Anolis sagrei: one gene and its partners. The protein of the gene in region 1 purifies or fractionates together with the protein of each later gene. This does not show direct contact. Links are inferred from orthologs where the notes say so. Each region holds a gene or a part of one and is shown in the gene's direction. Other genes may lie near its edges.

Region 1 (3,754 bases):
GGCCATTATATGGCACTGTCAGGCCATTATATGCTAATCAAGGTGATCAGTTGTAACATTCACACCTAGCTCCAGCAGACAAGAGTCCTTTGTCCCACCCTGGTCATTTCACAGATATATAAACCATTTTTCCTAGTTCCAACAGACCTCACTACCTCTGAGGCTGCTTGCCATAGATGCAGGCGAAACGTCAGGAGAGAATGCCTCTAGACCAGTGGTTCTCAACCTGTGAGTCCCCAGATGTCGTAGCCTTCATTTCCCAGAAATCCTAACAGCTGGTAAACTGGCTGGGATTTCTGGGAGTTGTAGGTCAAAACACCTGGGGACCCACAGGTTGAGAACCACTGCTCTTCCTTGCCGCCCTACATAAGAGCCATGCGTGACTTAGGGCCTTTTACTCTCGCACTTAAGACCTGGCGTTTTACTAGAGCATTCGATCTGTTAATTCTTAATTTTTGTATGTATGTATTTTATCTTTTATAATTTAGCTGTAAATCGTCTAGAGCATTCTCGGATGGAGGGCGATTCATAAGTTATTAAATGATGATGATGATGCTCTAGACCATGGCCATATAGCCCGAAAAAACCTACAACAACCCAGTGATTCCAGCCATGAAAGCCTTCGACAATACTTCAACAATACACTGTCAAGATAGTTTTGGGCTAAGTGAGTCTACACTGCCATATATTCCAGTTTAAAGCAGATAATGTGGGACTTTATACAGCTGTATGGAAGGGGCTGAGGATGTCAAACTGCCTCCTTTGCAAAAGAGAAACTGCAAAAAAAAAAAAAAAAAGAGGCCTCACAACCTCTAAGGATGCTTGCCATAGATGCAGGCGAAACTTCAGGAGAGAATGCCTCACAGTGGTTCTCAACCTGGGGTTCCCAGATGTTTTTGGCCTTCAACTTCCAGAAATCCTAACAGCTGGTAAACTGGCTGGGATTTCTGGGAGTTGTAGGCCAAAAACATCTGGAGACCCCAGGTTGAGAACCACATGGCCATATAGCCCGAAAAAATCCTACAACAACTCAGAAACTGCATCCTTTGCTCCTTCCCGCAAGGCTCTGCCACGACCGGAAGTGAGGAGAGACACCCAGCACCGGAAGTTCCAATGTGCGTCCCTCTCTAGCGCCAGAAACTCGTCTCTCCCTTTTCCCCGTCTCCACAGTCTGCATGGACTTCCGCTTCCTTGCCCTGCCCACGCGACTGAAGCAGGCGCTGCGATTGGAAGACGGGGGATGGGGAGGCGGGTCTTTCGGGGCTGGGCGTGACAGGCGTCTCTGGAGGCAGCGGAGGGGCCTCAGTCCTGGCTCTGAGGGTAAGGAGAGCAGGGCGGGGAGGGAAGGGCCCTGTGCCAGGCCAGCCAGAGGGCTTTCTGTTGTAAAGCCCTTCCCCTTGTTTTCCTTTATCTTCTTCATCCTCTCTCTCCAAATGTGTGTTATGTTCGTTGGAGTCTTTTTCTCCCCAAGGTTTGCTTAGAAGAGGCCTTCCCTTCCTCTGAGGCTGAGAGGGTGTGACAGGCCTAAGGCCTCCCACTGGGTTTGCCATGGCCTTCACAGTGAAGAAATAAGGCATTTGACACCACTTGAACTTTAACTACTATGAAATTATGGGAGTTGTAGTTTTACAATGTCTTTAGCCTTCTTTGCCTGAGAGGGCTGGTGCCTCAACAAACTAAAAAAGATTGCATAACCATCTGCATTGATTCGACAGTATGGTTCTATCCATAATCCAACATTTATTTATTTCTAGCACTTTTACCCCGTCCTTCTCAACCCCCAAAGGGGGATTCAGGACGGCTTACACTTGGCAACAATTTGATGCCGTTACATATAACAATACAATAAAACAACAATTAAAACAATAAGTAAAGCATTAATTACAACCATAAAAACAGTAATGTCAGGCATATCACCATTCCAGTCGAATTCCACATCCAAAGTGCTATTATGCCTGCTGTCCAAAAGCCTGGTCCCAGAACCATGATTTTAATTTCTTCCTAAAAAAAACAGGAGGGATGAGGCCGATTTTATCTCGTTGGGAAGCGAGTTTCACAGACGGGGAGCGACAGCCGAGAAGGCCCTGTCTCTTGTCCCCACCAGATGCATTTGCAACGCTGGCTGGAGAAAAAGCAGGGCCTCCCCAGATGATCTTAAACTGCGAGGTGGAATGCGTTCGGACAAGTAAGCTGGGCCAGAACCATATAGAGCAGGGGTCCTCAAAGTAAGGCCCGGGGGCTGGATACGGCCCTTCAAGGTCATTTACCCGGCCCTCGCTCAGGGTCAACCTAAGTCTGAAATGACTTGAAAGCAGAAAACAACAACAATCATATCTCATCAGCCAAAAGCAATACCACACTTCCCATTGAAATAGTAATAAGTTTATATTCGTTGAAATTGTTTTTCATTTCAATTATTGTATTCTTTTAAAGTTTTTTTCCCTACTACAAATAAGATATGTGCAGTGGGCTTAGGAATTCATTCATGTTTTTTTCAAATTATAATCCGGCCCTCCAACAGTTTGAGGGACTGTGACGTGGCCCTCTGTTTAAAAAGTTTGAGGACCCCTGATATAGAGCTTTATAGGTCAAGACCAGCACTTTGAATTGTGTTCGGAAATGGACCAGCAGCCAGTGGAGCTGACACAGCAAGGGGGTGGTATGCTCCCTGTATGTCGTTCCAGTTAGTAATCTGGCTGCCACTCATTGGACTAGTTGGAGATTCTGAACAGTCTTCAAAGGCAGCCCTATGTAGAGTGCGTTGAATTAATCTATTCGGGATGTAATAAGAGCATGGACCACCGTAGCCAGATCAAGATACAGGTGCAGCTGGCGCACAAGTTTTAACTGTGCAAAAGCTCCCCTGGCCACCACCGAGATCTGGGGTTCCAGACTAAGCGATGAATCCAGGATCACTCCCAAGCTGCAAACCTGCATCTTCAGAGGGAGTGTAACCCCATCCAATACAGGCTGTAACCCTATGCCCTGTTTGGCCTTTCGACTGACCAGAAGGACCTCTGTCTTGTCTGGATTCAATTTCAATTTCTTAGCCCTCATCCAGTCCGACAGCTGCCAAGCACTGGTTCAAGGTCTGGATAGCCTCCTTAGTAATGGGTGGGAAGGAGTGACAGATTTGGACGTCATCTGCATACAGATAATATTGCACTCCGAAACTCCAGATGATCTCCCCCAGCTGCTTAATGTAGATGTTAAACAACATCGGGGACAATACTGAACCCTGAAGGACTCCACAAGACAATGGTTGTGGAGTCGAACAGGTGTCACCCAGTAACGCCTTCTGGGACTGTCCCTCCAGGAAGGACCAGAGCCACTGCAAAGCAGTACCTCCAAGTCCCATTCTTGTAAGGCATCTCAGAAGGATACCGTGGTCAACGGTATCGAAGGCCGCTGAGAGGTCCAGCAGAACCAACGGACACACTCCCCCTCTCAAGCTCCCGGCGTAGTTCATCTACTAAGGCGACCAGGGCTATTTAGGTTCCATGTCCTGGCCTAAAGCCAGACTGCCAGATATAGATAATCGGTGTCTACCAAGAACCCCTGGAGTTGTGAAGCCACCACACATTCCATGACTTTGCCCAAATAGGGGAGATTGGAAACTCACATTCAAACCACTACCCTAGGCATGGGAAAACGTTGGCCCTCCAGGTGTTTTGGACTTTAACTCCCACAATTCCTAACAGCCTACATTTATATGACACCCTATATTTGTGTGTGTATTAACATTTATTTAAAA
Region 2 (3,754 bases), on another chromosome or scaffold:
TTTACTTTTATCTGAGTTGCATCAAGAATAGCTGGCCCCCCACCTGAAAGGAATGTCCCAATTAAATTACAAATGACATGTCCTGAGTGTAAGAATTGGGGATTGGCCAAAGCAAACAAAGCATTCAACCTTTACTATTTCCCCCTCAAGATCAGCGCACAGGGACATCTAGTGGATAAGATATTTTGGATAAAGTTTTTTTAAAAGATGGACACTGCATTTCACTTGTTTCTTACCACATTTGTAGAATAAATAAATAAATAAATAAATGGTGGGATCACAAGTCTGAAAAAGTTACACAAAATCAAGACATCAATCTATTCCGGGACTTCTGAATTCAGACTGACAGAGTTTTGGAGCACAATACCCCTGACCTCACAATCCTGGGAAAAACAAAAAACAAAGTATGGATCACCGATGTTGCAATCCCAGGTGACAGCAGCATTGACGAGAAGCAACTGGAAAAGCTGACACAATATAAAGATTAAAAGATTGAAATGCAAAAACTCTGGCACAAGCCAGTCAAGGTGGTCCCAGTGGTGATCGGCACACTGGGTGCAGTGCCTAAAGATCTTGGCCTGCACTTAAAAACATTTGGCACTGACAAAATCACCATCTGTCAGCTGCAAAAGGACATCCTACTCAGATCTGCACACATTATTCGCTGATACATCACACAGTCCTAGACACTTGGGGAGTGTCCGACATGTGATCAAATACAAAAGCCAGCATGGCGAACTTGTTTAATGTGTTCTAATCTTTTTGTGTGTCTAATAATAATAATGATAATAATAATAATACATCAAACTGCAAAAACTCTGGCACAAGCCAGTAAAGGTGGTCCCAGTGATCTGGGACCTTGGCCTGCACTTAAGCCAGCATGGCGAACTTGTTTAATGTGTTCTAATCTTGTTGTGTTTCTAATAATAATAATAATAATAATAATAATAATAATCTTTATTTACATCCCACCACTTCTCCCCAAAACGACTTGGGGCAGCTAATCATCATCATAATAATAATAATAATAATCATCATCATCATAATAATAATAAACTTTATTTGTACCCTGCTACCATCTCCCCAAGGGACTTACAAAAGAAGAAACACAATAGAGTAATAGTAAACATACAACCAAATCAAACTTAATTCATAACATACTAATAAAATTCAGAAGGCTGTTAGGAATTGTGGGAGTTGAAGTCCAAAACACCTGGAGGGACAAAGTTTGCCCATGCCTGCTTTACAAGGTCTTTAGCCTTCTCTGCAAAAGACTGCTGGTATTTCATCAAGCTAAAAATCTCATGGTAGTTAAAGGAGTGTCAAACCGCATTTATTCTACAGTGCAGACACACCTTCAGGGATGGTTATTTTAGCACATTCCTCTCCTTGCGGGTCTCCCACTAGGGGGCGTTCGGCGCCTCGCCCAATAGGCTTGTGACATGCGCAGTAGCACTCCCTCTGACACTAGCTTTGCGGGTTCGACAGATTCGGAGGGCGCTCTTCCATTCGCCGGGGAATTTTCCCCTGCCTCTCTCAAGATGGCGACCTTCTCGGACCGGAAAAGGCGGGGAATGAGGCGGAAGTGGAGTGAGTGTTGACAGGAGCTGGAAGGCGCTTCAGCGGAGGCCTTGGAGCAGTCCAGGGCCGGCCTCGGGTCGGGATGATTCCCACGGAGGAGGCCTCGGCCCGGAGGAGAGAGATAGAGGAGAAGCTCAAGCAGGTGGGGCCTCAAGGAGGAGCAGGAGGCTGCAGCGCCATCAGCCCCCGGCCACGGCATTGAGTCATGAGGCTATACCAGGCCTGGGCAAACTTGGGCCCTCCCTCCAGGTGTTTTGGACTCCAACTCCCACCATTCCTAACAGCCTCAGGCCCCTTCCTTGAGGGGGAAAAGGAAAGGGCCTGAGGCTGTTAGGAATGGTGGGAGTTGCAGTCCAAAACACCTGGAGGGCCTAAGTTTGCTCAGGCCTGGACTATATTGTGTGTGTGAGGTGGAGGGTGTGTGTGTGTGCTTGTTTTCAGTCCTTTAAAGTATAACACAGGATTTGAATATATTTTAAGTGTTATGACTATGTTTAGGCAGATTTTTCATAATAGCAGCAGACTCTCAGTTAACTGGTACCAATGGGGATCAATATGAAAGTAGCTTCTGGTTGCTTGAGAGTTATTACTAAGAGCAGGCCTCAGTAATACTATGCCCCATACAATGCCATCCCATAAGCTCTATAACTGGATTGGTGTTAATATTGAAACACAATAATTGAAAGCATATTGAGACAGAAAGGGCAAATTTATTGTAACACAGTTTTATTGTTTTATGATATTCTAAAAACAGCATTTTTAAATTTAAAGTATTATTTCTTTTCTTTTTCTTTTTGTTGCTATCTGCCTGAGTGTTACAATTAATTGAGTTATTATTATGATTATGTTTATTTCTGATTAAAATGTTTAATTGTATGGTTTTAATTGTATTTGTTTATTTTTGTATTTATATGTATTTTCATAAAATTGCGGCCTGTTGTAAAGCCGCCCTGAGTCCCCTTTTAGGGTGAGAAAGGCGAGATACAAATATGTGAAATAATAAATAACAAATACCCCGCTTTTTCTCTCCATACGGCTACTCAAAGCGGATCACAACTAAAAGCATTGCAATACAGTCTAAAAATATACAAATATACAAGTATTAAAACAGTATTAAACATCATAAAAAGCATATAAAATCACAGCAGCCCCTGATGACCTTAAAAAACCTTCTTCTTTAAAAGCCTGCCTGACTAAAAAGGGTTTAACTTTCTGTCTGAAGGGGACTGTTCTGGCTTTCCTGGGGAGAAGGGAGTTCCAGGGTCGAGGGGCCGCCACCAAGAAGGAAGGCCTGTTCTCTTTCCCACCAACTGGACTTGAGATAGAGGTGGGACTGAGAGAAGGGCCTCTCCTGAAGATCACAGGGCCCAGGCAGGTTCATACAAGGGGATGTGGTCGGTCAAATAGCCTGGACTTGAACTGTCTAGGGCTTTAAAGGTCATAACCCGCACTTTGAATTGTGCCCGGAAACAGATAGACAGCAAGTGCAGCTTCTTCAACAGGGGGTTGTCAGCTCCTTGCAGCCAACCCCAGTGAGCAACCTGGCTGCAGCTCTTTGGAACAGCTGAAGTTTCCCAGCACTCTTCAGAGGCAGTTCCACGTAGAACGCATAACAGTAATCCAGATGGGATGTTACAAAGGCATGGACTACCGTGGCGAGATCTGGCTTCTCAAGGAATTAGCACACAAGTTTTAATTGTGCAAAGGTCCTCGCAGCCACTTTCAACACATGGACCTCCAGATCCAGGAGAACTCCCAAACTGCGGACCTATGTCTTCAGGAGAATGTGACCCCGTCCAGCACAAGCTGAATCCCTAGTCGCATAAGGCTGGAATGACTTGAAGGCACCCAGAAATAATAGAAGGTAGCTTTGAGTATAAAGGTGCCAGGATATACAGTGTAGTTGTTGAATCACAGAGTTGGAAGAAACCTCCCAAGGGCCATCCAGTCCAACCCCATTCTGTCATGCAGGAATATACAATCAAAGCACCCTGACAGATGGCAGTTCAATAAAGAAATAAATGACAAAAATGACAAAACCAATAGAAGTTGCACCTCTGGAGGATATCCAGAAGGCCCAGGTTGCCCTCCTAATTTGTTTGTTTGTTTTGGTATCCTGTTAGGCTTAGATGATCTTTCTGCTCTGTAATGGGATGTGTGTCCTCTGTTAATA
Region 3 (3,754 bases), on another chromosome or scaffold:
GCGACCTTTTGGTCAACACGCTCAGCAGCTCAGCGGTTTAACCCACTGCGCCACCGGGGGCTCCATCTCAGGTTGTTAATAGGAACAGAGCTCACAACTCCTCTGTTGCGCCAGCTCCACTGCTGCCAGTTTGCTTCTGGGCACAATTCAAAGTGCTGGCTTTAGCCTATAAAGTCCTAAGTGGTTCTGGATCTGCTTACCTATCCGAAAGTATCTCTCCTTATGAACCATCTAGGACACGAAGATCTTTTGGAAAGGCCCTACTCACAGTCCCACCTTCCTCACAGATGTGTTTGGCGGGGACAAGACATAGGGTCTTCTCAGTAGTGGCCCCTCAATTGTGGAACGCCCTTCCCAGGGATATAAGAGAGGGCCCCTCCCTCCTGACTTTTCGAAGAAAGGTTTAAACCTGGCTTTTGAGCAGGCTTTTGCTAATCCAGCATAATTATACGAAATCATGGAACGACCTGATGATGCAATTGAATAACGATTTTAACAAGGAGGCGCTCACAATAATGGTTTTATGGCTTTGTACGGTTTTTATATTTTTATATTTTACATAAATGCTTTTAATGGTATTTTATGATTGTTTTATTTCTTGAGGCATCAAATGTTGCCAACTGTGAACGCCCCGAGTTGCCTTCGGGCTGAGAAGGGCGGTATACAAATATGGTAAATAAATAAATAAATTTTATTGATTTATGTTTTATTAGGTTTTACCTTTTATGTATAACTGTTTGATGGATTTTATATTCTGGTATGCTCTATGCCACCTTGGGTCTGCGCTGTGGAGAAAGGTGGGGTAGAAATGCTTCAAATAAATAAATAAATAAACAAACACTATAACTCCTAAAATGCCAATCTAACATGATTGATGGCCCTACCAGGTGGAGGTGGGTGGGAGTTGCAGTCTAACTTACCAACATTTCCAGGCTTTATGGTTATATAAAATAAACATCCAGCATTTTGATTGATTGCTTCTTGGCTGCATTAAAATAGGTAGGCATGAAACAGATCTGGCGTCATAACAAGTCTGGGGTCATAAGGAAAAGGCTACTTATAGCAGGCTGGATGACAACAGCTGTGTCACACTTGTGGGCAGAATGTCTTCAGGACGCCCAATGTCAAATCAGGATTTGCTTTCTCCTTTTGCTGGTGAGAGAGTCTTTCATTCCGGTGATATTAAAAGAAGACGGTCCTCCCTTTATGCCTGGAACAGTTTAGTGCTTTACCATGGCTGCCAATGCCAGTCCTAACACAGATGGATTTTGCATGGAAGAAAACAAAGATAATGTGTATGAAACAGTCCTTGGTGAGATTAAATACTTGGAGCTGCCCCTGGGAATCACTTTAGGGTGAGTATCTCCTGCCAAGAATGTACTTTATGCTCCTTCCGCTGGGTTTGTTGTAAAATATTCAGAGCAATTATACTATATTTTCTTATTTTAATAAAAACAGACCTAGTTATAAACCAGCCTGTACAGGTTGACATCCCAAAGCTGAAAATGCATTCTTTGTTTTCAATTACTATGATGAAAAGCATTTAAGTTCAGGATGTTAAGAGGCTGTTCTTAAAAAATACTTTTCTCATTCCCATTTCTGATCAAAATGTGTGATGGAATTATTTGTTTTAGGTCTATCTTTGTGGTGGTATGGCTAACAGGTTTTTACTAACAGCTGAAATGTTGATTTATGACGATATATTTATATCTTCCGTTCTTATGCTAAAGAAACAAATAATGCAGTTGTTTTTGGGGGGAAGGGGTTGCACTTCATATACGAATTGCCTGTTAAACATATGCATGCTTCTAGATAAGTCTACATAATTAAATACAGAATTATCTGATATTTGTAATAGAAGATTAACTTACCCTGTGTTAAAATATAGCAATTAGCAAACAAAAAAAGGCAAATCTCTTCATGATTTTTTTTTGTCGTAATGCATATCAGATTACATGGTATCATATTCGAGTTTATTTATAGTAGCTCATGGGAGTATTTTAAAATAACATAGCTGTACTTGTGTGTATTGATTTACGAAGAAGATTACACTGCAGAAACTATTAGTATAAGACACTTGATTTGTCCTGTAATATCTGTGCATCATCATATAATGTAAATAAGGTGATGAAGCATTTTTGTACCAGGTTTTCATAAAGTTGTCATAGGGCCCTTCCACATAGCCATATAACCCAGAATATCAAGGCAGATAACTCATAATATCTGCTTTGAACTGGATTATCTGAGTCTATACTGCCATATAGCCCAGTTCAAAGCACATAATATGGGATTTTATAAGAAATAAGAAAGGGTTGCAGCAGTTATTGTTGCCAGGGTGGGCATGCTTCACTGTTCACTTTCAACATATTTCTTTTCTGTTTCCTCCATTCCACTTTTCCTTGGAATTGTAGTTTGGTGAGATGCCAACACTTTTTGACAGGGAAAGCTATATTTATTTATTTATTTATTTACTGCATTTGTTGACCGCCGTTCTCAGCCCTAGGGCGACTCCCGGCGGTGTACAACATATAAAAACAGTTTACAATAAGGCAATAACACAACAAATATCAACAACAACAATAATACAAATTACACTAAATCATCCGCGCCGTCTCATCTTGGAATCATAAACCAAACTCGTAATCCATATTCCGTTCCAGTCGTCATTGCCAATTGTTGTGGCACTTAGTCAAACGCCTTCTCAAATAACCATGTCTTTAGGCTCTTGCGGAATGACATAAGGGAGGGCGCCTGTCTGATGTCTGCAGGGAGGGTGTTCCACAGCAGGGGCCACCACCGAGAAGGCCCTATCCCTCGTCCCCGCCAGACGTGCCTGTGAGGCAGGCGGGATCGAGAGAAGGGCCTCCCCAGACGATCTCAAGGTCCTCGTGGGCTCATAGGTCGAGATGCGGTCAGAAAGGTATTTGGGCCGGAACCGTTTAGGGCTTTGTAGGCCAACACCAGCACCTTAAATTGGGCCCGGTAGCAGATCGGCAGCCAGTGGAGCTGGAACAACAAGGGCGTTGTGTGCTCCCTGCGTCCCGCTCCTATAGATCTTGTAAAACTACAACTCCCATGATTCCATAGCTCTGAGCCATGGATGTTAAAGTAGTGTCAAACTGCATTAATTCTACGGTGTTGATGCACTTTGGGACTAACATTTGGTTATAAAATACATTACAGCGACATAACAGCTAAAGTAATGTGAAATACATTGTGTGTGTGTGTGCACAAGCACACACATACATTCTTATTAAAAACATAAGTTTAGAACTGCTTAAAAACATGTAAATGATAATAATGAAGATATTCATTGCACAGTGCCTTGGTAGTCCTGGTGAGTTGAAAGCCGATAGGCAATTATTGAAATAGAATACCAAGCCGTCACGGAAGAAGTCGACGTTCTGTTTCCGCAACCAGCAACTAGCGTCTCACAGTTGTCTCAATGTCTTCATCAGAAGCATAATGATGTCCCCACAGATCTTCTTTCATTATCGGGAACAGATGGAAGTCAGACGGTGCTAAATCTGGACTGTATGGAGGGTGTCATATGGTGGTGAGATCCAGTCTCTGAAGTTTCAAGTCTGTGTGCTTTAATTTAAGGAGTCAGCATCCTGAGTACCCATCGTGCACAGATCTTCCGATAGCCAAGCAAAGCAGTAATGTGACCCACACGTTCTTTTGAAATGCCAACTATGCTTGAAATTTCTCTCTGAGTGATACTATGATCATCCTGAATCAATCTGTCAACCTT

The links.
Region 2: the proteins of EXOC1 (region 1) and EXOC7 purify together in Homo sapiens (affinity purification with mass spectrometry; 4 studies listed by BioGRID and IntAct, counting the BioPlex papers as one, with this or other methods). This does not show direct contact. The link is inferred for Anolis sagrei from reciprocal best matches to the Homo sapiens genes EXOC1 and EXOC7.
Region 3: the proteins of EXOC1 (region 1) and EXOC6 purify together in Homo sapiens (affinity purification with mass spectrometry; 4 studies listed by BioGRID and IntAct, counting the BioPlex papers as one, with this or other methods). This does not show direct contact. The link is inferred for Anolis sagrei from reciprocal best matches to the Homo sapiens genes EXOC1 and EXOC6.

What each region holds. Positions count from the first base shown.
Region 1 is NC_090025.1:73,466,322-73,470,075, reverse strand, and holds the start of EXOC1 (exocyst complex component 1), read left to right. Parts: upstream 1-1,222; 5' UTR 1,223-1,320; intron 1,321-3,754.
Region 2 is NC_090022.1:118,826,881-118,830,634, reverse strand, and holds the start of EXOC7 (exocyst complex component 7), read left to right. Parts: upstream 1-1,541; 5' UTR 1,542-1,663; coding exon 1,664-1,723; intron 1,724-3,754. UniProt on the Homo sapiens protein: Component of the exocyst complex involved in the docking of exocytic vesicles with fusion sites on the plasma membrane.
Region 3 is NC_090023.1:186,661,793-186,665,546, reverse strand, and holds the start of EXOC6 (exocyst complex component 6), read left to right. Parts: upstream 1-1,093; 5' UTR 1,094-1,233; coding exon 1,234-1,355; intron 1,356-3,754. UniProt on the Homo sapiens protein: Component of the exocyst complex involved in the docking of exocytic vesicles with fusion sites on the plasma membrane.